Linked DNA regions of Rattus norvegicus. The protein of the gene in region 1 interacts with the protein of each later gene in a biochemical or structural test. Links are inferred from orthologs where the notes say so. Each region holds a gene or a part of one and is shown in the gene's direction. Other genes may lie near its edges.

Region 1 (11,167 bases):
TTTAATACTATGTCATTTAGTATGACAATGGAATTGGGTTCTCCACTAAGGCTTTGTCCCATCTTTAGTTATTGGACACAGAGAAATAAAGCTGATATCGACATGGTAGCTTTATTTCCTCTGAATAGGTTTCACAGTGCTTAAGGAATATTTATTCTACCAGAGGAGAAACAGCCATAAAACAAACAAACAAAAACAAATAAACAAAGAAAACCCAAAAGAACTTATCCTGCTGTGAACCCTATGAGCTGCAATACTGAGCATCTTGTCAAGATATGGGGGGCAGTGCAATAGTGACATGAATGTTGTGGGAGTGACTAGCCACTTTCTGATTGGATTTAGGCACACTCCACAAGATGGAACTAATGTCTGGTATAGTAAACTACTGGACACTGTTGCAGTATATTTTAAAGACAAATCTGGTATGAGTATTGATATAGTTTAAGAGAAGAAGGAAAGCATGAGCTCAGGGTGATTTTTGCAATTTTGATTTAAGTGAGTAGAAGGTGGAACTGTATCTAAGATAGTGAATATCATATGAAGAGACATTTTAGGAATGTAATTGGAATATTTTGGAGCACAGTAGTGGACATTCGGAAAAGAAAATAAGGAGTTAAATATAGTTCTAGAATTGAGAAGAAAGATCCTAGAGAGAAAAAAACCTTTGTAGAAACTTAATCTTTTCATAGTAAAATGTACTTTTAAACGCAATATATAATAAGAAATTATTGTTTTCAACTCAGAAAACCTTTAGGAATAAAATTGGTGTTATGATTATTTAATAGGTGCTTATTTCTTAGATACAATTCATTCTACTATGACTTATCAAAATATTTCAACTCTCAAAAATAGATGTCCTTGGAAGAACAGCCAACAATTTCTAGTTGTTTTGTTTTATGCCATTTCCTGACATTGTAAAGTCCTGTATTATTTATTTACATAAAATATAAACAATGTTTATTTTAAAAGACATTGTAACATTTCTTCACAAAGAAGATTTATATTTTAATACAGTGACAATTTTTAATGTATGATAGATTTATAAAAATATCATATACTCAGAAAAATACAGCTAAACATGTTGGTAATATTTTCTTCATGAATACCAGGCTTTGATCTTCAAGGGAAATAAAACTTCAAATATGGGGCAAGACAGACTAGAAATTCAGCAGAATTACACATAAACCTTCCAAAGACAGGACATTTGTCTGTTATTTGTTCATATCTCAGCATTTTATTATAACCCATTCACTTACTAGAAGATTCATGATTATTAAAGAATAACTAAATTTATTAGTGACTTTTATTTTTCACACTGTGTTTATAAGGAAATTTTATGAGTCATAATAAGTTATTCATATTTTTAAAACATAATGTGATCGTACTATGTGCATCCTTGAATGTATACCCATATTTTGTTGTTTGTTTGTATTCTATCTTATTGTGTTTCCCACTGCTAGAGATTTTGGAAAGATTCCTGTATTTTCTTTGGGCTGTTTTAGTTTACATTTTTATTGGTATATTGGGCACTTCATAGATAACATCTATTTCAGTTCTGATAATACTCAAAGCTTTTTTGTCATAGCAAGTCAAATAATGTAGTGACTTAGTGAATAATATGTTGTACCTTTCAAGGAATATATTTTGCAAGAGATTCCTTATTGAATCATACCACAAGAGAATGCTGTGGCATAACATGGTAATCCATAAACAAAATTAAGAAAACTACAATATTGATAATTATTGTACCAAAGTGTACAAAAGTGCAGAAAGCATATCTATTAAAATTTATTTTTAAAACAGTTCTCATGGTACTTTTAAAAATAAAAAAATTATCAAACATCTTAAAAAAATTAAGGCACTTAATTGTGGCATGTAGAGGAATTTTAATCAATCAACATGGCTGCTCTGAAAAGGGATCGCATCCAAAGATTTAGGTCTGTGTGATCTGACTGGAATGCAGACGTGCCACACATGTTTAATCCGTCTGGCTGGAATACAGACATTTTCTTAGGGTTTCTATTCCTGCACAAACATAATGACCAAGAAGCAAGCTGGGGAGGAAAGGGTTTGTTCAGCTTACACTTCCACTTGCTGTTCATCACCAAAGGAAGTCAGGACCGGGACTCAAGCAGGTCAGGAAGCAGGAGCTGATGCAGAGGCCATGGAGAGATGTTACTTACTGGCTTGCTTCCCCTGGCTTGCTTAGCTTGCTTTCTTATAGAACCCAAGACTACAGCTTGTGTCAAGTTGACACACAAAACCAGCCAGTACAGACATATACTTAGTATACAACTTTAAGGTAAAATTAGTTTGTAGAATGAAGCAACTATGGTTGAAAGTGATGTCTATCTAATTAAGGGCCAGATAACATGATGAATCAGACAAAGATTTGACAGAATGAGTCAGAAATAGGATACATCTAACTCTCATGAGAACAGTACAGGAAAGAGAAGCTATTTAATGGCAGCACAGGAAATTTAGATGAGTTCAGTTTAGTCAATTGAGTTCTTTTGTGAGTTCCTGCAATTCATTGCAGATCAGCAAGGCAGTTGAAGCCAGTGAATATGTATCCAGAAAGCTTAGAACAAATTGCCAGAGTTAGTTTGAGGCCAAGCAACTGAGAAGTTGAGAGAAGCCAAGTTGAACCAGCCAAATTGGAGAGGAGTTTGAGCCAAAACAGCTGAGTTGAACCAGCCAGCCATATTCAGAAAGAATAGAAAGGGTGTGTTCATTGAGCAGTAAGCCTCTGAGGTGACAATTACATAAGGCAAATAAAAGTGACTTTTAAAGTGACAGGTAGATATCAAGGTCAAATGATATAGTTTGTCATTACCTCACTATCTGTCAAAGAAGTCACGATTAATTTCAGTTCAGGAAATATTTGTTGAATTGTTACTGTAAAAACAAGTTTAGATTAAGTGCATTGGGTAAAAATGGCATTTGACATGCCAAAGTTTACATTTTATAATATGTTACGTCTGGATGTATATTTTGTATGTGTGTGTGGGTGATGAGTACTATATAGGAGTCAACATACATGAACTTTTAGAGCAATGTAGCAGGATATGATAAAGTGGAAGTAGTATAATATAGGGAAGGAGGAAAAGATAAAACAGAAGCTGAACTAAATCTTACAATATTACTAAACCTATCTTGCTAGCTGTACATATTATTATCAATACTTGGAAAGCTTAGCATTCTAGGCTGGCCTAAATGAATCTCTTAAAAATTTGATTACTTTTCTTCCAATGGTTTCTTTTTGCTTTTCTTTTATTATGCTTATTATTTCACAAGTTTGTTTTTTTAATGTGTGGGTCTGTGTGTTTGTCTCTGTACTATGTGCATATGGTGCCTCAGGAGGCCAGAAAAGAATTCCCTTGGAATTAGAGTTATACAAGGTTGTGAGCTACCATACAAGCATAGGGAGCATAGGAATAGAATCTGGTCCTGTAGTAGAGCAGTCTGTGATCTTAAACATTGAAGTACATTTGTAGCTTCCCCTTTATTTTATTATTTTTAACTGATACGTAAAGTTGTGCATAATTACATGGAATCATGTGTTCTTTAGAAACACATACATCACTTAATGCTTTAATAATATTAAGTGTATCCCTTATTTGTTATTAAGCATGTTACCTAGAGGTTGAGAAGATTATTCATTGTTGAAGGAAGAGCTAATGTGGGGAGGTCATAGAGATTAAGAAGGAAACAATGTATGGAGAATGATAAGTAGCTGAGACTGTAGATAGTATAAAGGATTGTTATTTTGAAACTCTCGAAAAATAGCTATAAAAATGATTCCTTGGATTAAAAAGTACTTTACTCACTACAGTGTACCCCATTGCCTATTTTTGCTTTACTATTTTCAGACAAATGTGTTTTAAATAAGGTAGAGTGTGAGCTGACAGACCTTGAAAATACTCATGAGAGTTATATTAACTGCTTGACATAGACAGTCTTAAGCTCCCTTATCAAATATGCCCACTTCCATATTAAATCTATTTAATGTTAATCATTTCTCCTCAACATTGCAGGAGAAACTTGTATGCGTTCTCCTTATTTTGGCAGAAAATCAGATTCTGAAACAAAAGATTTATAAACCATCTACTATTCTTTAATACTCTTTCACACTCCCCCATCCCCCACTCTCACTGCCATCTCTAAAGCAAAGTTAATGTTGTAACTTACTTTGCTAGGCGGCAATTTGAAATTCTGTGAGGAATTCTATTCTGTGGAAACTAGGCAAAGAGTTTTTTGTTTGGTTCTATTCTCTCTGGGAAGGCACAGAGACAAAAAGACAGTATTGGTATAAAGTGAAAAGAGATTCCTCAGGTTCTAAAAATGCAAATACAGACATGCTAGGGGAAACAGTTTTCCTGGCTTGAATGATTCATTTGTTCAAAGTGAGCCCCTTTGAATTTCACTACTGCCTGAGCATCTCTGATCAATTTTTGCTTGGTAATTGTCAAAGGGGTATACAAACTTTCCTCATTCATCCTTGCTTGAGGAGTCGAATAATTACGTTTCATTTCCATATCAAACTGCTAGGATAAGTAAGGTATATCACTGAAGTCTGTGAAATAAATCTAGCTTTTACCATTTGCATTAACATTTTAATGCTACTCTGTTGTCGCCTACCTGCACCCGCTACCCTAAAACTACAACACCCAGAATGCACTGTTTTTCCTTCCGCTTTCTACCTAGGTAGTGCCTTAGAAATTCACAGCTACAAACTACAGTCACATGACACGTTTCCTGTCAAGATGGCGGATAATCTCCCTTCGGACTTTGATGTGATCGTAATAGGGACGGGTATGTGTGGCCCTGATTTTCGCTGGACAAAATATAGAAAATAATTCTCGCTTTTTATTTTCTCTGTCAGTGGTGAGGGTTGGCAAGAAACGGCGGGGGTCGAGCCTGGGAGGGAGGACAGAAAGGAAGTGAGGTAGTCTGGAGTCAGCGCGGGACTTGGCAGCTCCAGGGAGGGGCTTGGACCCGCGGTGTTTTGCGCCATTTGAGTAGGGGTCGATCTGGTCGATGCCGATTGCTGAGGTTGGTTGCTGTGGTGATTCCTGTTAATTTCCTTAGAGGAAGGTGGGTTTGCAGTGTCATGACAATGGAGGATCGGGATTTGATCAATGGAGACGCCGTTGGCACAAATAATTGCCACCTTCCCTCCTTGTTGATTTCAAGGTTATATTCCCCATCGTTTCAGGTCGCCATTTCATAGAACGCCCCCCTCCCCCCGCACGCCCCCATATACTTACATGAGCTAGGGTACATTGCAGCTCAGATGCAGCCTAATTTGCAGTTTTATAAAAATGATACTCAGTCGTTACACGTGTGTATTTTTACTAAAGGAAAGAAAAAGTACTCTTCCCTGTTGTGTTGAGTAGTTAAGTATTTTTTTTTTCTTGAGGTTCCTGCATTACGAAGTTTAAAGCATCCTAGTTCATAATGCAGAAAGCATCTTGTTTTCTGTCACCTATTAACACACCACAACTAGATGTGCTGAGAGTAAGCTCCAGTGTTCCACAACCCGTGTCTGAGCTCAGCTTCCCCTAGCTCTTCCATCATTTGTTCTCCATGTTTTGGGTGGAGCCAGAAATCCTTTTCAGCTTCTAGTTGACTAGTTAATCCTATAATGCTTGGCGACAATTAGCTATTCTTATCTTAACTGTAAGTTTGCATAGGATAAAAGAGATAGTTTGGGGAGGGGGGCGGATTCTACTGTCTTAGAATATGCTAGGCCATAGAAGCTTTGGTCATTGGGATCTTGTCTGTTGTGTTAATGAATTCTGTTTGCTTTCTTACCAAACAGTAAGAACAGCTATATTTTCAGGTTTAGAGTAAAAGTGATAGCAACCCATTTTCTAATACTTACCGTTCCCTAATCAATGAACTTAAGCACTTCATATAATCCGGTCAAAAACCTTGGTAAAATTGGTATCCTTTTCAGTACACAAAAGAAAAGAAGCAGCTTGGAAGTCTAACTTGCCAAAATCACACAGCTAGTAAATGTCCAGTGGCTAATACCATCCAAGAAATGGAATTCAGGGGTTTTTGTTTGTTTTTTGTTTTGTTTTGTTTTTGACTCAAATTTGAACTATGTTATCACAAATACCAGGGAAACCTGCTCTAGATTATGCAATGGGAGGGTCTCAAGCGGTTCAATTTCTACCATTTTGAATATAAGGAAGGTAACTCAGATAGCCTTTAAGGTATTATCCAGAACACAGATTCTCATATTCTAGATGTACCTGGGTAAGTTGTTCTCAGAACAGTGGGGGTGTGTTTGCTCCCAGCCTGAAGATAACCGCTGAGCAGCTAACCTGGTGCTTCCTGGAATGAGCAGATGTTAAAGGAGAGCTTGAAAGATGAAGTAGAACGTTCAGTTTCCCCAGTGTGCCTGCCTAAAACCGAAAACGCCATCCATTTTAGAATAAGTCTTTTTTAAATTATACTTGGAGTCTCTGTATTTATTTGGGTGATGTGTTATTTTTCTTAGCTATTTTAATTCTTTTAGATACATTAAAAGTGAAAACATTTGTTGAAAGTCATTTTTTAAATAAAATCATTCTTAAGATTTCAATCATTGCTTTTAATTGGCTTCGTTATTGAAACATTGTGATTTCCTTCTCAAATACATTGCTAAGGGTAGACTTTAAATGTGTTGACTGTATTAAATTTGCACTTAGGAAATTTGTAGGTAAAGCAGTGTTTTATAACTTGGGTTCTGTTATCAAAAGCATAATGAAGCATGTCATTATAAGAAAGAGCTGTGCGTTGTAGCTCCCTTTTAACAACTGTTTAGTTAAACTGTCATCAGAAGACAATTGCTTCATCATGTAGCATCATCTAAGAATGCTTTAAAAGTTTATCAACCTTAAATAATGTGCATCTTTACTTTTTGCATGGCATGGATTAAAGTTTCCTTTAAGGTCATAGTTTCAAGATATGGGAAAATTATATCAGAATACCTAAAGGAACAGAATTAAGATACAGTACTTGAATTGTGGGGGGAAAGATTAAAAAAAAGATTAAAGAGGGAAAACCAATTGGAATCTTGGTGGGGAAGAAAATGGACACAAATTCTTAGAATGTGATCTTTGGCTTTGGTACATATGTCATTTCAGAAGAGTTTGGCATTTAAAGTGTAATTTTCATGACAATTTTGGGGTGTGTGGAAAAGTTATCATTAGTTACAGGTCCTAAAGGTGACTTTTCTGGTAACTTGTATAATCTCCAGCAAAGCCAAGAAGTTAAAAGTGCAGAAGAAATCTAAGTTATAAGGATTATATGATAATATTGACATATGTCATATATAGGGACATTCTTCAGCTCTTCACTTGGAATATATTGTTATTTTAGAAAGAATTCTAGCTGCTTAGAATATACTATAACCACATCATTCGGAGGCATAAACTGTTACCAAGAATATGTTTGGGTTGTGCTATTAGATGTACAAGTGATTGGCAGTTTCTATCTATATAAGAAAGGGAAATACATGAAGTGGCATAATACCTTGACATTGTTTAGTGTAAACACACACACACACACACACACACACACACACACACACACACACAATCAATACTTGTAATACTTTACTGCCATCAAGTACGTACTCCTATTGTGGTTGTAATATTTAACATATTGTTTTTTCTTAGGAACTTTTTGGCTTTCCTCAGAGTTAAAATTCCACAATTTTTCTTAGAACCATGGACATTTTTCATGTCATTGGTTATTTATGTTTTCAGAATACCATGTAGGAATTTAGTCTGCATGCTATTCTTTCTTAACTATACTGCTTTATCTTTGGGTAGAAGTTCCTCCTCTAAGATACTTTGTAAGCTAGCTTATTTAATTTCATAGGTATTTCTTTAAAGAAGTTAGATCTGTTCTTTTTCCACTCCCTCCCTCGAGTCTTGTCCTGGTGGTCCTTGAACCTCAGCCTTTGCATATGCTCTTCAAGTCCTGTACTGAGCTACATCCCCAGCCCTATTCATTGTTTTTTTTTTTTTAAAGAGCTGGCTTCTCTAAAGGATTTACCATTGTGTGCAGGTAAATATATATATTTAAATGGTAAGCTGCCTTTTTAGGAATGTTCATGTAAATAGTACAGTCCCATTCTTGATGTTTCAAATTGCAGCACTGATGTTAATTTTGGCTGGCTGCTCATTCAAGGATTTTAATATTTCAGATAGCAGTAGGGTATGGTTTCTAAACCTTGGAGGATAGTAATGCTGTAGGAAGTGGTGTAAAAACTGATATTTGCTAAATTGTCTGGAAGTGAGGCTCAGTACAAGTGACTTACAATATTTATATCTTAGCATGTTTGTGTGTGCTTCTCTTATCACAATGGACACATAATCCTTCCCTATATCTGCATTCTTATACCTGTTGTTGAGAGTGGCTTTCTTTTTTAAAAAGCAAGTTGGCACTTCTCTGTAATTCACGAAATGGATGCTAGCCCTTAAATTACTCAATTTATCATAATACATATAATAAATGATAAAATACATATAATAAAATATCTTTATACACAAAAAATAATGCCTATAGAATGGTAAGCAACTTAATAGTCAATAAAATTGAAAGTAGTATTTCAAAAGTCCTTTAGATTCATCAGTGTTAGACCTTCTGTAGTGGTTTGAATATGTTTACCCCAGGGAGTGGCACTATTTGGAGGTATGGCCTTGGAATAGGTGTAGCCTTGTTGGAGGAAGTGTAGCTTTAAGACCCTTGGCTTAGCCGCCTGGGAGCAAGGCTTCTAGCAGCTTTTAGATGAAGGTGTAGAAATCTCAGCTCGTCTTGTACCATGCCTGCCTAGACACTGCCATGTTCCTGCCTTCGTGATAATGGACTGAATCCTGTAAGCCAGCTCTAATTAAATGTTGCCCTTTATAAGACTTGCCTTGATCATGGTGCCTCTTTAGAGCAGTAAAACCCTAACTAAGACACCTCCCATATATTACGCATACTTTTACATGCATGTATCTCATTTGAGCAGTGTGATAAGGTGATGATAGAATTTGAATCCCACCTATGCTTTGTGTGCCCCATTAGGTACACCCTTAGCTGTTCTTAAGTTTCACCTTATTTCTAAATAAGATGAATTTCATTGAGCTGTGTTAAATATTGAAGAAATACTTCCTATAAAATGCTTACATAATATAGGTGATTTTTTTTTATGGCCTGAAAGCCATAGTGAAGTGCTTTTATTATCATTAGTATTGCCTGAAGGACATCAAGGAAGAGCTCATGATTTTCATGGAGAGTCCTGGAAGGATGGTAATGTAAGGTTCATTATCTTCCTCTTCCCATTAGCTGCTTGCTTAGAAAGACCTTTGATTTTTAACACTTTTTGCTAAATCAGATTTTTTATCTGGTAGTTTATAGATATTCCTTTTTTATTTTTTAGTTTTGAGTTTGCTTCACCAGTTTGAATTATTTATCATCTGTTTTAAATAGATTTATCATTCATTTTAACTGAGAACATAGTGTGAAGTGCTTTTTCATTGCTAAGAGGTAGGAGGTAAAGAACGCCTACAGATCTTGCTGTTTTAATTTGTACTTCTTTGAGCTTTCTTTCTTTCTTTCTTTCTTTCTTTCTTTCTTTCTTTCTTTCTTTCTTTTTTTTTGGTAGGAAAGTCATCTTTTCTTCTTTCGAGACCTAACAAAGTAAGGAGGATTTATTTAATTCCGAGGATTCTCTGAGCTGCTCTGTAAATCATAAATTTGAGCCAGTCCCTCAGAGAGAGCCGCATCTGTTACCAAAGTTCCCTGGGCAGCATCGTTTTCATCTCCCGTGCTGCTTGTCATTTTCTCATTTTCTCCAGTGTTCTCATGATGTTTTGGATAACTCAGGCTACAGCAATTAAAATCAAATGTGCTTGCTCAACCTCACATCCTCGTGTTTAACATAAAATCCCAATGCACAGAAACAATTATGATTCCATATAATTGACCTGTAACTCATGTGAAATCATCTGCCATTCAGTTTCAGGGAGAACTGAAAAGTTAGGCTGTTCCTGCTGTGTGTATAAAGCCTTAGAGCTAATGTCTGTCTATCTATGCCCTGTGTATAATCTGTAGTGTAGAAGATTGGGAATTCGGGAGACATGTAGTTGTTGTTAGTAGAATAAGGATGCTTTTCTAAAGATTTGCTTTTTGTTTTTCTAATAATTTAAAGGACAGTATTCAAAGAGACAATAATTTGCCACAGTTAGTGATTTATCGGAGCATGATTTTAAGAGTTGACATGTTTTCATACTGAGGCAGATATGGAAAACATCAGCAAAACAAACAGCAATCTCTCAAAACACAAACCAAAGCAAACCCTAAACAGATTACGAATAGTTGAGGAAACAGAGGCAACTTACTTTATTTCATCTCAAACTAGATTTTACAAAGCACTTAGGCTGGCTTGATTTTCTAGCATCTATCCCCCCCACTAGTGTTTTTCAATACATGCTTGTCCATATCAATTTGGTATAATAAATGGTTTCTTACTACTACCAGTTCTGGAGTAAATATTATCTCACCTCAAGTAAGTGTAAAACCCTAGATTTTGCCAATTTTGACCTACGTTGTATAGGTTAGACAAGTTATTGACAACTAGAATTGAGATACTGAATTGAGATTGTTGAATTTTTTTTAAGTGAAAAGAAGCACCATATCCTCCAAAAATTTGATTAGTTTGCTCTAGGCTTAGGTTGGCATTTTTTTTAAACTGATGCCAAAAATAGCTTCATGTTTGGGCCTTAATTATTGACAATATTATGATATTGGAGTCAGCTTGTAAACCCTTATATGGAGGCAAACAGGATGACCTAGTTACATTTATTCCCCTTCCCCCAAAAATCCCCAAAGCAAAAACCAATCAGTCACTAAAGCAATGAGATCAGAGTCATGTTTTAAGATACAGATTGTTTCAGTTGAATTTCATTCATTCCAAGTTTTGTAATCACATAATAATGATATGGTTCTGAGAATAATTTATCTTTCAGTATTGGCATTCATGTCTTATTTTTCATTATTGTTAACTTCTTTTATGGTCATTGCAGCAAATGCTAAAACTTGGTGTTCTTAGAGAAGAGCTATAAATGCATGCAGAGATACACAGGCTCTCTGGGTTTCTTTTACTAAGAAAAAAGATCAA
Region 2 (9,888 bases), on another chromosome or scaffold:
GTGCTGAGAGGACCCTTGTAGGAAGTCCCACTGTTGATGCCCACTGCCTCCTGCTGACCATGTGTAAAAGCTGTGGGTCTGAAAGATCTCTCCACCCCTGAATACTGCTTCAGCTCCTGCTGCCTCCCAAGGAGAAGTGTACAACAGATAGAGTTCAGAGATACATACTTCTCTCTCTTTCTCCTTTCTCCTTCTTTCCTCTCTCCATCTCCCTTTAGTGCTGAGGATCAGACCTAGGGCCTTGCATGGGCTAGACATGCTCTCTGACCACAAAGCAATGTGTAACCCCATTCACAACATTATCCTTTCCACATTTTTCATAAATTAACAACATGTGAGAATTAAAAAATAACCAAATCCTATGCTCAAAACACTGTTTGCTGCTGTGGGGATTTGATGGCTTTGGAGCAGCAACCTGTGTAGTTTCCAGAGTTGGAAGAGGAAGAAAATGACTCAGAGGTGTCTCATCACTGCAGCAGCGTCAGCATGCTAGGCGCTCTGTGGGCGCTGCCAGGGAGCAGAGACTCCAGGACGGAAACAGATTTGATCAGTATGCATGAGCAGAGCCTGAGCATGGTGCTTCCTTTCTGATACTCAAAAGGGCTACTAAGAAATCAAGCTATGGCCAAGCCATGTGGTGCTTTAATCCTAGCAGTCAGGAGACAGAGGCCATGGTGGGTCTCTGTGAGTTCTGTACCAGCCTGGTTTACATAGTGAGGCCTTGTCTAACACCCCCTCCCCCAACAGAAAGGAAAAGAAAGTTTTACAAAACTATCCACTGACATAGTGTAATCCATCCCAAAAAGTGATACTAGCCAGGCAGTAGTGGTGCATACCTTTAATCTTGGGATTAAAGTACTTGGGAGGCAGAGGCAGGCAGATCTCTTTAAGTTTGAGGACAGCCAGGGTTACATGGAGAAACCCTTGTCTTGAAAAACAAAACAGAAGTGATACTAGACCTTCGATGAGACTGAAACCTTGCTGAGTCAACGCAGTTTGTGGGGAGGCAAGGCTCCATATGTAGTGTATGGTTTAGAGTATGAGAAAACTCTAGGTATGACGACGGGTGGCTGAAGGAAATAAATAGTCTCTGAGGGTCACTTCTTTACACAGTCTGTACCTGGCCCTAGCACCTGTTTTTCTTACCAGTGTCACTGAGCTTAACAAGTTGTTATAGACTGAGCTGTGAATGGGGGTGTTGGGCAATGAGAGTAGCCAGACTTTGATGGTTAATCCTGGTTGCCAACGTCATTCGACTGAGAGATATTTAGGAGATGAGTAAAGCTTGTCTTTGAGCATGTCTGTGATAGCATTTCCAGAAGTAATTTTTTATTGTATTTACTTTATTGTGTTTATATGTGTATGCATGTCCCAGCATACGTGTGGAGGTCAGAGGACAACTTTCAGGAGTTGGCTCTCTCCTTCCAGTCTTTAGGACCAGGAATTGAGCTCAGGTCATCAGGTTTGGAGGCAAGTGCCTTTACTGCTGAGCCATGTTGCTGACCCCAGAGACAGTTAAGTAGGGAGACATTCTTTGAATGTGGGTTATACCATACCTACCTTGCAGGTGGGAATGGGGACTGATGGGGAAAAAAGGGGCCAGGAGGAAGCCTAGTGCACACACAGGCTTTCTTGCTGTATGCTTTCTGTATCGTGATGGCACCAGTTTCATTCACTCCCTGCTGTGATGTTCTATCTTACTGTGGGCCCGCAATCCTTGCAACTGCCCAGTTGCCTTTGAAACTGTGATCCAAGATAAATCATTTCAAGGAACTATTTTTTTTGTCATAGCAAATAGTTTTTCATTAGTTTATGAGATATCGTTCCTGTCTCCACACTGTCTCTATAGCCAGAAACAATGGAAACAGTCCCTTTGAGGGACATAGGGTTCCACTTCTTTGTAAGCCAGTTGGTACCGTATCTCCTATGTGCTTTTGGGTGTGCTGTCACACACTGCAAAAGCAGCTGGCAGACAGCCCCTGAACTGTGGCTTGCAACTTTTTCCCTTGTCATCTGGACTGTGTTCTGCTGTGTTCTCTGTCTGACCTGTGTTTGGGACATACATTCAAATAATAGCAACCAGTGCCTGCCAGTTTACATACAGTACTTAGCCAACAAGTAGTGTTTTGGAAACCCACTCATTGACTCAGACGTTCTTTCTTTGTTAATAGCTCAAGGACTGACAAGTGCTGGAAGTGTGAACCAGGGGTCAGTCAGTATCTTACGTACTGTATGGTCATGCAAGCAAAGGCTGCCTAGGTTTTTGGGAAAAGGTTGTCCCTAGAGTTGCACTGTGAAGTATTGTTCATCCACTCCACTAATCTTGTGTTTGATAATTCTTTACTTGACACCAGGCACGTAGAAAATAAAACTGTCCTCATGGAGAATGTTAGAAAATGGAGAATATAAATAGTATATATTTAGATATATGTGTTTTAATTTAAAGCAGCAAACAGTAGTTGGGAGAGGGGGTGTCGTGTCGTAGGTTACAGTGGCTGGGATGAAACATCATGACCCAAAGCATCTTGAGGAGGGAGAGTTCATTTGGCCTACATATCCAAGTAACAGTTCATTGAGAGAAGCCAAAGAGGGGCTGGGGCTGAAGCTATGGGAGATTGCTATTTCCTGGACTGTTCCTTGTGGCTTGCTTGGCCTCCTTTCTTATAGAAATCTCAGGCAGGGGTGGCACTACACACAGACGGCCGGGCCCTCTTCCATCAATCGCTAATTAAGAAGATGGCCTACAGACTTACAGCCCGATCTTACAGGGATATTTTCTCAATTGAGGCTCCCTCCTCTCTCATGACTTTTAGCTTTCGTCAAGTTGACATAAAACTATCCAACACAGGGTGCTCCTTAAATAAAGTGGTTCCTAGCTGGCAGTGGTGGCACACACTTTTAATCTCAGTACCCAGGTGGCAGAGGCCAACAGATCTCTGAGTTAGGGACCATCCTGGTCTACAGTGACTTCCAGGTCTGCCAGAACAACACAGAAACACTGACTCAAAAAGAAAAAGAAAAGGAGGAAGGGAAGGGGGAAAGGGAAGGAAGGGAATAGGTTCCTTCGCTGAGAAAGTAATGCTTAATCTTCACTTGTAGAACTCTTAAGTCTGTTTGGAGTATTAATCCCAACTGCTGATGCCAGTAATGGACCCAGCACTTGAGAGAGAACCGAGGTCAGCTAAGGACTCACAGGTTCCCGGGGCAGTCTGAATGAAGGCTGGGGCTCAGCTCCTGTTGGAGTGGCAGCAAAGGACAGTGTCTGCCTTGGTGTTTCTTCAGCTCACCTGTGCTTTCTCCTTCCTACAGCTTCAAGGATGACCTCTAGGAAGAAAGTGTTGCTGAAGGTCATCATCCTGGGAGACTCTGGGTAAGTGTTCCTCATGAATTTGACCTCACAAGATCGTCTTGGAGAGCCATCTCAAGACAGCTCCACATTCTACTCTGGGTCTGTCCCCTGTCCTTTACTACTGGATTTAGCAGAAATTTGATAGTCCTTTGGTGTGTATTTTTGCTCTTTTTTTCCCCTTTTAGTATGGGTGTGTGTGCATGTCCTGTGTGGTTGTGTTTTCTTTGAACTGTAACCCAGGGCATGTTAGGCATGCACTCTACTACAGCTGCATCACCATTTCTTTTAACACGCTTGGGTTTGGGTTTCTTTTGAGGGGAGAGGGGACTGAACCCAGTAAATGATAGTCACTTTTCATGGATTCTCTTCTGTACCATCTGGCCAGACCAGGAACGGTTGTTTTCATGATCTGTTGTTGCTATGCAGATGTGGGCTCTGCACACGTGTGCATTGCCTTTCTGCTGCTGTGCCTGACCAGGGCTTGTATGTGGAAAAGTCAAAGCCAGAGGACTGCATTTTGTTTCTAGATCTTCAACTCACCAAGTAATCAATTTTTCAGTTGCTATTCAGATTGCCTAGTAGGGACTGGAGAGATGGCTCAGCAGTTAAGAGCACTGACTGCTCTTCCAGAGGTCCTGAGTTCAATTCCCAGCAAGCACATGGTGGCTCACAACCATCTGTAATGGCATCTGATGCCCTCTTCTGGTGTGTCTGAAAACAGTGACAGTGTAATCACATGCATAAAATAAATAAATCTTTAAAAGATTGCCGAGTACCACCCCCCTTTTTTTATGTGGGGTAGGTTTGGGGCAAGAGATTTGAGATAGGGTCTTACCATGTAGCTCTGGTTGTCTTGAAATTCATTGTGTAGACCAGGCTGGCCTTGAGCTCATAGAGATCTGCCTGCCTCTGTCTCCCAATTGTTTTCTACTCCAGTTTTCACATTTGGTTTCTTAAATGACTCATGATGAAGTTGGCACAGTGTTACATACCTGCAACTTGGAAGGCTGAGATGGGAAAATCAGCTAAGCCTTGAAAGGTTGAAGGTAGCCTGGGCAGCATGACCTGTCTCTGAGAAAGAGGGCAATAGGAACAGTAATAAAGGCATTTATGTCCCTGTTTTCCAAAGTTTCTTTTCCTTAAACAGCCATGGATTTTCTGTTTGGCCTGTTTGAATTGCTTAAGGAACCCTTAAACAAGTATTTTCTTGTTTCCGAAATTGCATTCCAGTAGGAATAAGGTCTCCTGCCCAGTACTGTCAGAAATGACATACTGTCCTTAGATCTGTGCTGCCCAGACTTGTCTGAAAGGAGTCTGAAGATCTTTGAGGATTACACATCTTACTGCTACTCCTCTGTAAATTCTAATTGTGCTGCAGTACTGGAGACAGAACCCAAGGGCTCACATATTAGGCCAGTGGTCCTCAGGCACTGAGCTATACCCCTGACAAGCACTACTGCCTTAGGCTGTGTATAGGTCCAAGTCATCTGAATGTGAATTTGATTCTTGGTGGAAAGCCACACAGGGACAGGGAAAGCTTTAGCTCTGTCTTCAGGTCACATAACTTTGGCCCTACTCTTCCTGAACACTTGGTTGGTAAATTTTCTTGGTAAAAACAATTCCTTGGGAGGAACATTCTTTGAATTTTTATCAATTACATTTACTTTTTTATTATGTATGTGCACGTGCATGTGGGTATGAAGATCAGAAGACAGTGTGCAAGAATTGTTTTTCCTTCTGTGGGATCCTGGGCATTGAATTTAGGTCATCAAGCTGGGCAACAGGTGCCTTCCCCTTTGGCTGTCATACGGGCCCTGCTCTTGTTGGGTTTTGTGTGGACTTTATTTTTATAGAGACAAAAAAACACGTGGCTCGATGCCCTTGAACTCACTGTGCAGCCCAGGCTGGCGTCAGGCTTCCCATGCTGCTACCTCATCTCTCAAGCACTGGATTCCAGACCTGTGCTGCAACACCTGTCCCGGAACATTCTTTTCTGGCTGTGCACTGACAAAAAGCCTGCTGAAGCAAGTGGCTCCCTCCTGGTATTACTTGAGCGATGCATAAACACCTGAGATTACAGTGCTGTTTGGAGTGGCAGAGTGGTGATCTTCTCTCGGCTCCTTTTAGGAGTGTGTGTGTCTCCTTCTGGAAGGGAAGAGTTGCACTAGCTTCCCACCTGGGCTGCCCGTACTGAATCTTACAAATGGTGTTCTGTGTGTGATAGGTGTTTGCAGTTTTGTTTTGTACTGCTATGCTGGAATTGATGGGATTTTTTAAAATCACATGTATTTTTTTTTGCACGTGTGTATGGGTATTTATTTTGTGTTTGTTTATGTCTATGGGTTGTTGCACATGCTTGGTGCATGTGTAGAAGTCAGAGTATAATTTGCAGGAACCCTCACCCCCATTGCTCACCCCAGTGAATCCTGGGGACTGAACTCATGTCACTAGGCTTAGCAGTGCCTTTACCCACTATCTTACCTTGCTACTGCCGTGATGAGATCCAATGGCGAAGGCAACTTACAGAAAAGTTTATTATTGTAGGCTTACAATTGCAGAGGGAGAGCGCATGGTGACATGGTAGCATGGCACTGGAACAGTTGCTAAGAGCTTCTGTCTTGATTCAGAACCACTAGGCTGAGAGAAAGTAGAGAGAGTAGAGTGTGGAAACATGCACACAAATCTTTTGAAACCTTAAACCCCACCCTCTCCACAAGAGATTATGAGCCCGTGGGAGCCATTCTCATTCAGACTGCCACACCTCCTGAGCTATCCTGACAGCCCCTCCCCCTCCACTATGCCAGGAAAATACAAACCTAGTATGTGATGCTAGGGTGATTGTTGGTGCTCCCCGAATGGGAGCTGTTTCTCTCAATCATGACATCCTTTAATAAATGCTTTGTTTTTAAACTGTTGTGGTACTAGAAGTTAAACCCAGGCCTTGTCTGTGTCCGGCAAGCACTCTACCAACTGATCTATCTTCCTAGCCCAGTCAGGTTGCTTTTAAAATTGTAAATCTAAATTCCTCTCGGTCCCTTATTTGACTTAGACATGTGGGTTTTGTCCAATTTCAGTGTTGGAAAGACATCGCTCATGAACCAGTATGTGAATAAGAAGTTCAGTAACCAGTACAAAGCCACAATAGGAGCAGACTTTCTGACCAAGGAGGTGATGGTGGATGACAGACTTGTTACCATGCAGGTAAGCCTCTGCTCAGCCAGTAGCCAGACGGCTAGCTTACTGAACCTTTAAAATGGGGTGTGTGTGTGTGTGTGTGTGTGTGTGTGTGTGTGTGTGTGTGAGAGAGAGAGAGAGAGAGAGAGAGAGAGCGAGAGAGAGAGAGGAGAGGTGGGGTGGGGGTGTGTGTGTCTACAACTTTGTGGAGTTGGTTCTCTTTCTACCTTTATATGGGTTCTAGGGATTGAACACAGGCCATCAAGCTTTACCTGCTGAACTCTTGTAGACCCAGTTTATTACATCTAAACTGTCTGTCACATCTCCCTGCTTTTCAGACTGATTTATATTTGTGGAAAATGGATAATTGGTGCAGATAGGGTTGTTGGTTGGGAACACGGTGGACATGGAACCCTAGCCTCATGTAGGCTGAGGGCACATGCTTCCACCACTAAGCTACAACCCAATCCTAATTTTAAATTTATATTACAACTAGGGATTTAATTTAACAAGATTTATTGTCTTTTTCTTTTCCTTTTCTAAACAGCAAATTATAGGTCCCTTCTATGTTCTAAAAGTCTTCATTTTTATTTTCTTTTGGAGGGGTTGGTATCTGTGTATCCATGACTGAACTCATAAAGATGCCCTGGGATGCTGGGATTAAAGTCATAAGCCATCCTGTAGCTTATCTTAGTGTCTTTGTCCAGTGCTTTAGCTCAGAAATTTTTCTGGGTTTTCCTAAGTTCTTACAGCATATAGTAAGGTATATTTAACTATTTAATTGTTGGCTAACCTAAATTGATGACTCAGTGATTAAAAGCACGAGCTGCTCTTTAGAGAGGACTCAGCTTCAGTTCTCAGCACTGTCCACAACTTCAGTGCTAAGGGAGCTGCCCTCTAGGCAAATTGGTGCACAAGTGCAGGCAAACTCATAAATAAAAACTTTTATAAAGTTGAGTTCTGTTCAGCTCATCCATCCATCCATCCATCTGTTTCTTAGACAGGATCTTACTTTGTAGCCCTGGCTGTCATTGAACCTAGAAGTAATCTCTTTACTGCTAGGATTAAATGTGTACACTATCTTAGCCAGCTTTTACCTTGTTTTGAGACAGGGTCTTTGTTCTTGCTTTTCCACTACCTATACAAAGCATACATATAACTAAAACAAAAACAAGTGTGGGGCCGGAGAGATGGCTCCATGGATAAAGAAAGTCCTTGCTATGCAAAATGTGAGAGTTCATGCTCAAATTTCTAGAACCCATGTAAAACCAGAGATACCAGAGGAGCATCTATCCAGCCAGCACTACAGTAGGAAATAGGAGACAGATAGGCAATCACTGTAAGGTATGAACCATTTTAGGATGGAGGTAATGTGAGCCAGCCTCTTCCCAGCCCAACTACACATATGCACATAGATCTGAAGATATTCAAAATACCTGAGTGAAAGTTAAGGACACCAAATTTGAGAAAAAGAAATTTCTGGAACAAAGCGGAAAGTAAAACTGTGATAGGCTCAGAGGCTCCTGCCATGGGATGGGATGGGATTGGATTTTAAGTTTTAGCTTTGAAAGGACTGGAGATGTACACTGCCCATGTGTGGGGCCAGAGCTGAGACGCACCTGTACTCCCCACCTCATCCCCAGCACCCCCCGTACACCACATGTCCAGTCCCCACAAAGAGTATAAAAACAGGACGGGGAGACAGGCCAAAGATGGAGCAATACTTGTGGGACTTGGGGGTTTGAGATTGCCTCATTGTCCACCTGTCCACATGGGTGGTGGTTCCTTTGTGTGTTTGCAGGATGGGAAATTTGGAATTGAACCTAGGGTCTCTTAAGTGCTAGTAGACAAATGCTCTGCTGTTGGTCTTTGTCCCCAGATCTTTTAAAACTAGTGTCTTAGGACAGGGTATCATTTAGATGCCCAGGCACTGACCGTAAACTTGCAAAGCCTCCCCAGGAGCTGAAATTAAAGGTTTGTGTGCCCAGTGCAACTTGATGTGTATAGAATTTAAGTTTATACTCTTCAAAGGTAGGACACTCTGTCTCACAGAATTTAACAGAAACACATGCCATTCTTGACAAAAACCAAGATTACTCTGTGGGACACTTAAAATTGGAGTGAGAGATATATATGCTCCTGGCCATTTGAGGAAATCAAGACCTTCACAGTGATATAGTTTCTTAAAACAGGAATAGAAACCAGTATGGAAAAAGCTGCTATAAAAATGAAGATATGGAAAATTTAGAACTTAAAAAAACTGAAAAAAAAACATCACAGTAAGTGAAAGGCACTGTTAAACTCTAGAAGCGTGGGTAAGCTGAGGGGTTGGGCAAGGGGTCAGAGAGAACTGGAGCCTGGCTGGGTGCAGTGCCGTACACCATTAATCCCAGCATTCGGGAGGCAGGGCAGGTGGGCTTCTGTCGGTCCTGTGAGCCTCTGTGAGGCTAGCCTGGTCTACACAGGAAAAATAGCCAGAGCAACATAGTAAGACAGCTTAACAAAAGGGAACCCAAGACTGCAGGAAACAGAATGACAGCCCCAAGAGTCCCCAGAAAGAATGTGACTTGGAGGAAGGGTGGCGAGGCTGGTGTTTGGTGTTCTTCACAGCACTGCGGCGATCAGGTGAAGCGCAGGAGCTGCACAGACCTGCACTGTCAGTGCACCCAGCACGGGGTTGAGAACTGAGGTTTCGCCACACTCACTGCTGCAGTGCATCCCCACAGCCAGCGTCTGATGAGCCACACTGGAGACCCATGGCACAGAAGGATCCAGGAGAAAGCGGGAGGAGGTGGCAGCTTCTGAATGATGGGGCAGAGTCTTGAGTGAGCCCTACATATGTCTCAAGAGTTTTAGCGGGCTGGGGATTTAGCTCAGTGGTAGAGCGCTTACCTAGGAAGCACAAGGCCCTGGGTTCGGTCCCCAGCTCCGAAAAAAAAAGAACCAAAAAAAAAAAAAAAAAAAAAGAGTTTTAGCAGCTTGTAGTAAAAGATAAGAAAAGAAAGACATCACAGATAAAAATCCAGTGGTGACCTCCTTGTCCTTGAGAGTGATTTTTATATTTACAAAGGAGCCAGGTCCGGTGTCACAGTTTAGGGTCATCCGTGGCAATTGATTTATTTTTACAGGTTGGGATTCACTCTATATAGCCTAGGCTACTCTCAAACTCTTTCTGTTCTTTTACCTTCGTCTTCCCAAGTGCTGAGAAGGCAGTCGTGAACTCTCAGACCCAGTTAACATGTTGGAACTTCCTCCCTTCTTTGCGGGGCGGGGGGGGGGGGTGTTCTACCACAGACCTCTAATTAGAACTCAGTACATTGGTTTTAATTTAAAAGAAAAAAACCTTATATCTGCAGAGAACAAGT

What was found. The genes of interacting proteins can lie anywhere in the genome.
Region 2: the proteins of Chm (region 1) and Rab7a are reported together in a solved structure, tested with the Homo sapiens proteins (2 studies listed by BioGRID, with this or other methods). The link is inferred for Rattus norvegicus from reciprocal best matches to the Homo sapiens genes CHM and RAB7A.

What each region holds. Positions count from the first base shown.
Region 1 is NC_086039.1:82,547,791-82,558,957, reverse strand, and holds the start of Chm (rab proteins geranylgeranyltransferase component A 1), read left to right. Parts: upstream 1-4,914; 5' UTR 4,915-5,097; intron 5,098-11,167. UniProt on the Homo sapiens protein: Substrate-binding subunit of the Rab geranylgeranyltransferase (GGTase) complex.
Region 2 is NC_086022.1:122,029,946-122,039,833, reverse strand, and holds part of Rab7a (ras-related protein Rab-7a), read left to right. Parts: intron 1-3,309; 5' UTR 3,310-3,317; coding exon 3,318-3,370; intron 3,371-6,423; coding exon 6,424-6,550; intron 6,551-9,888.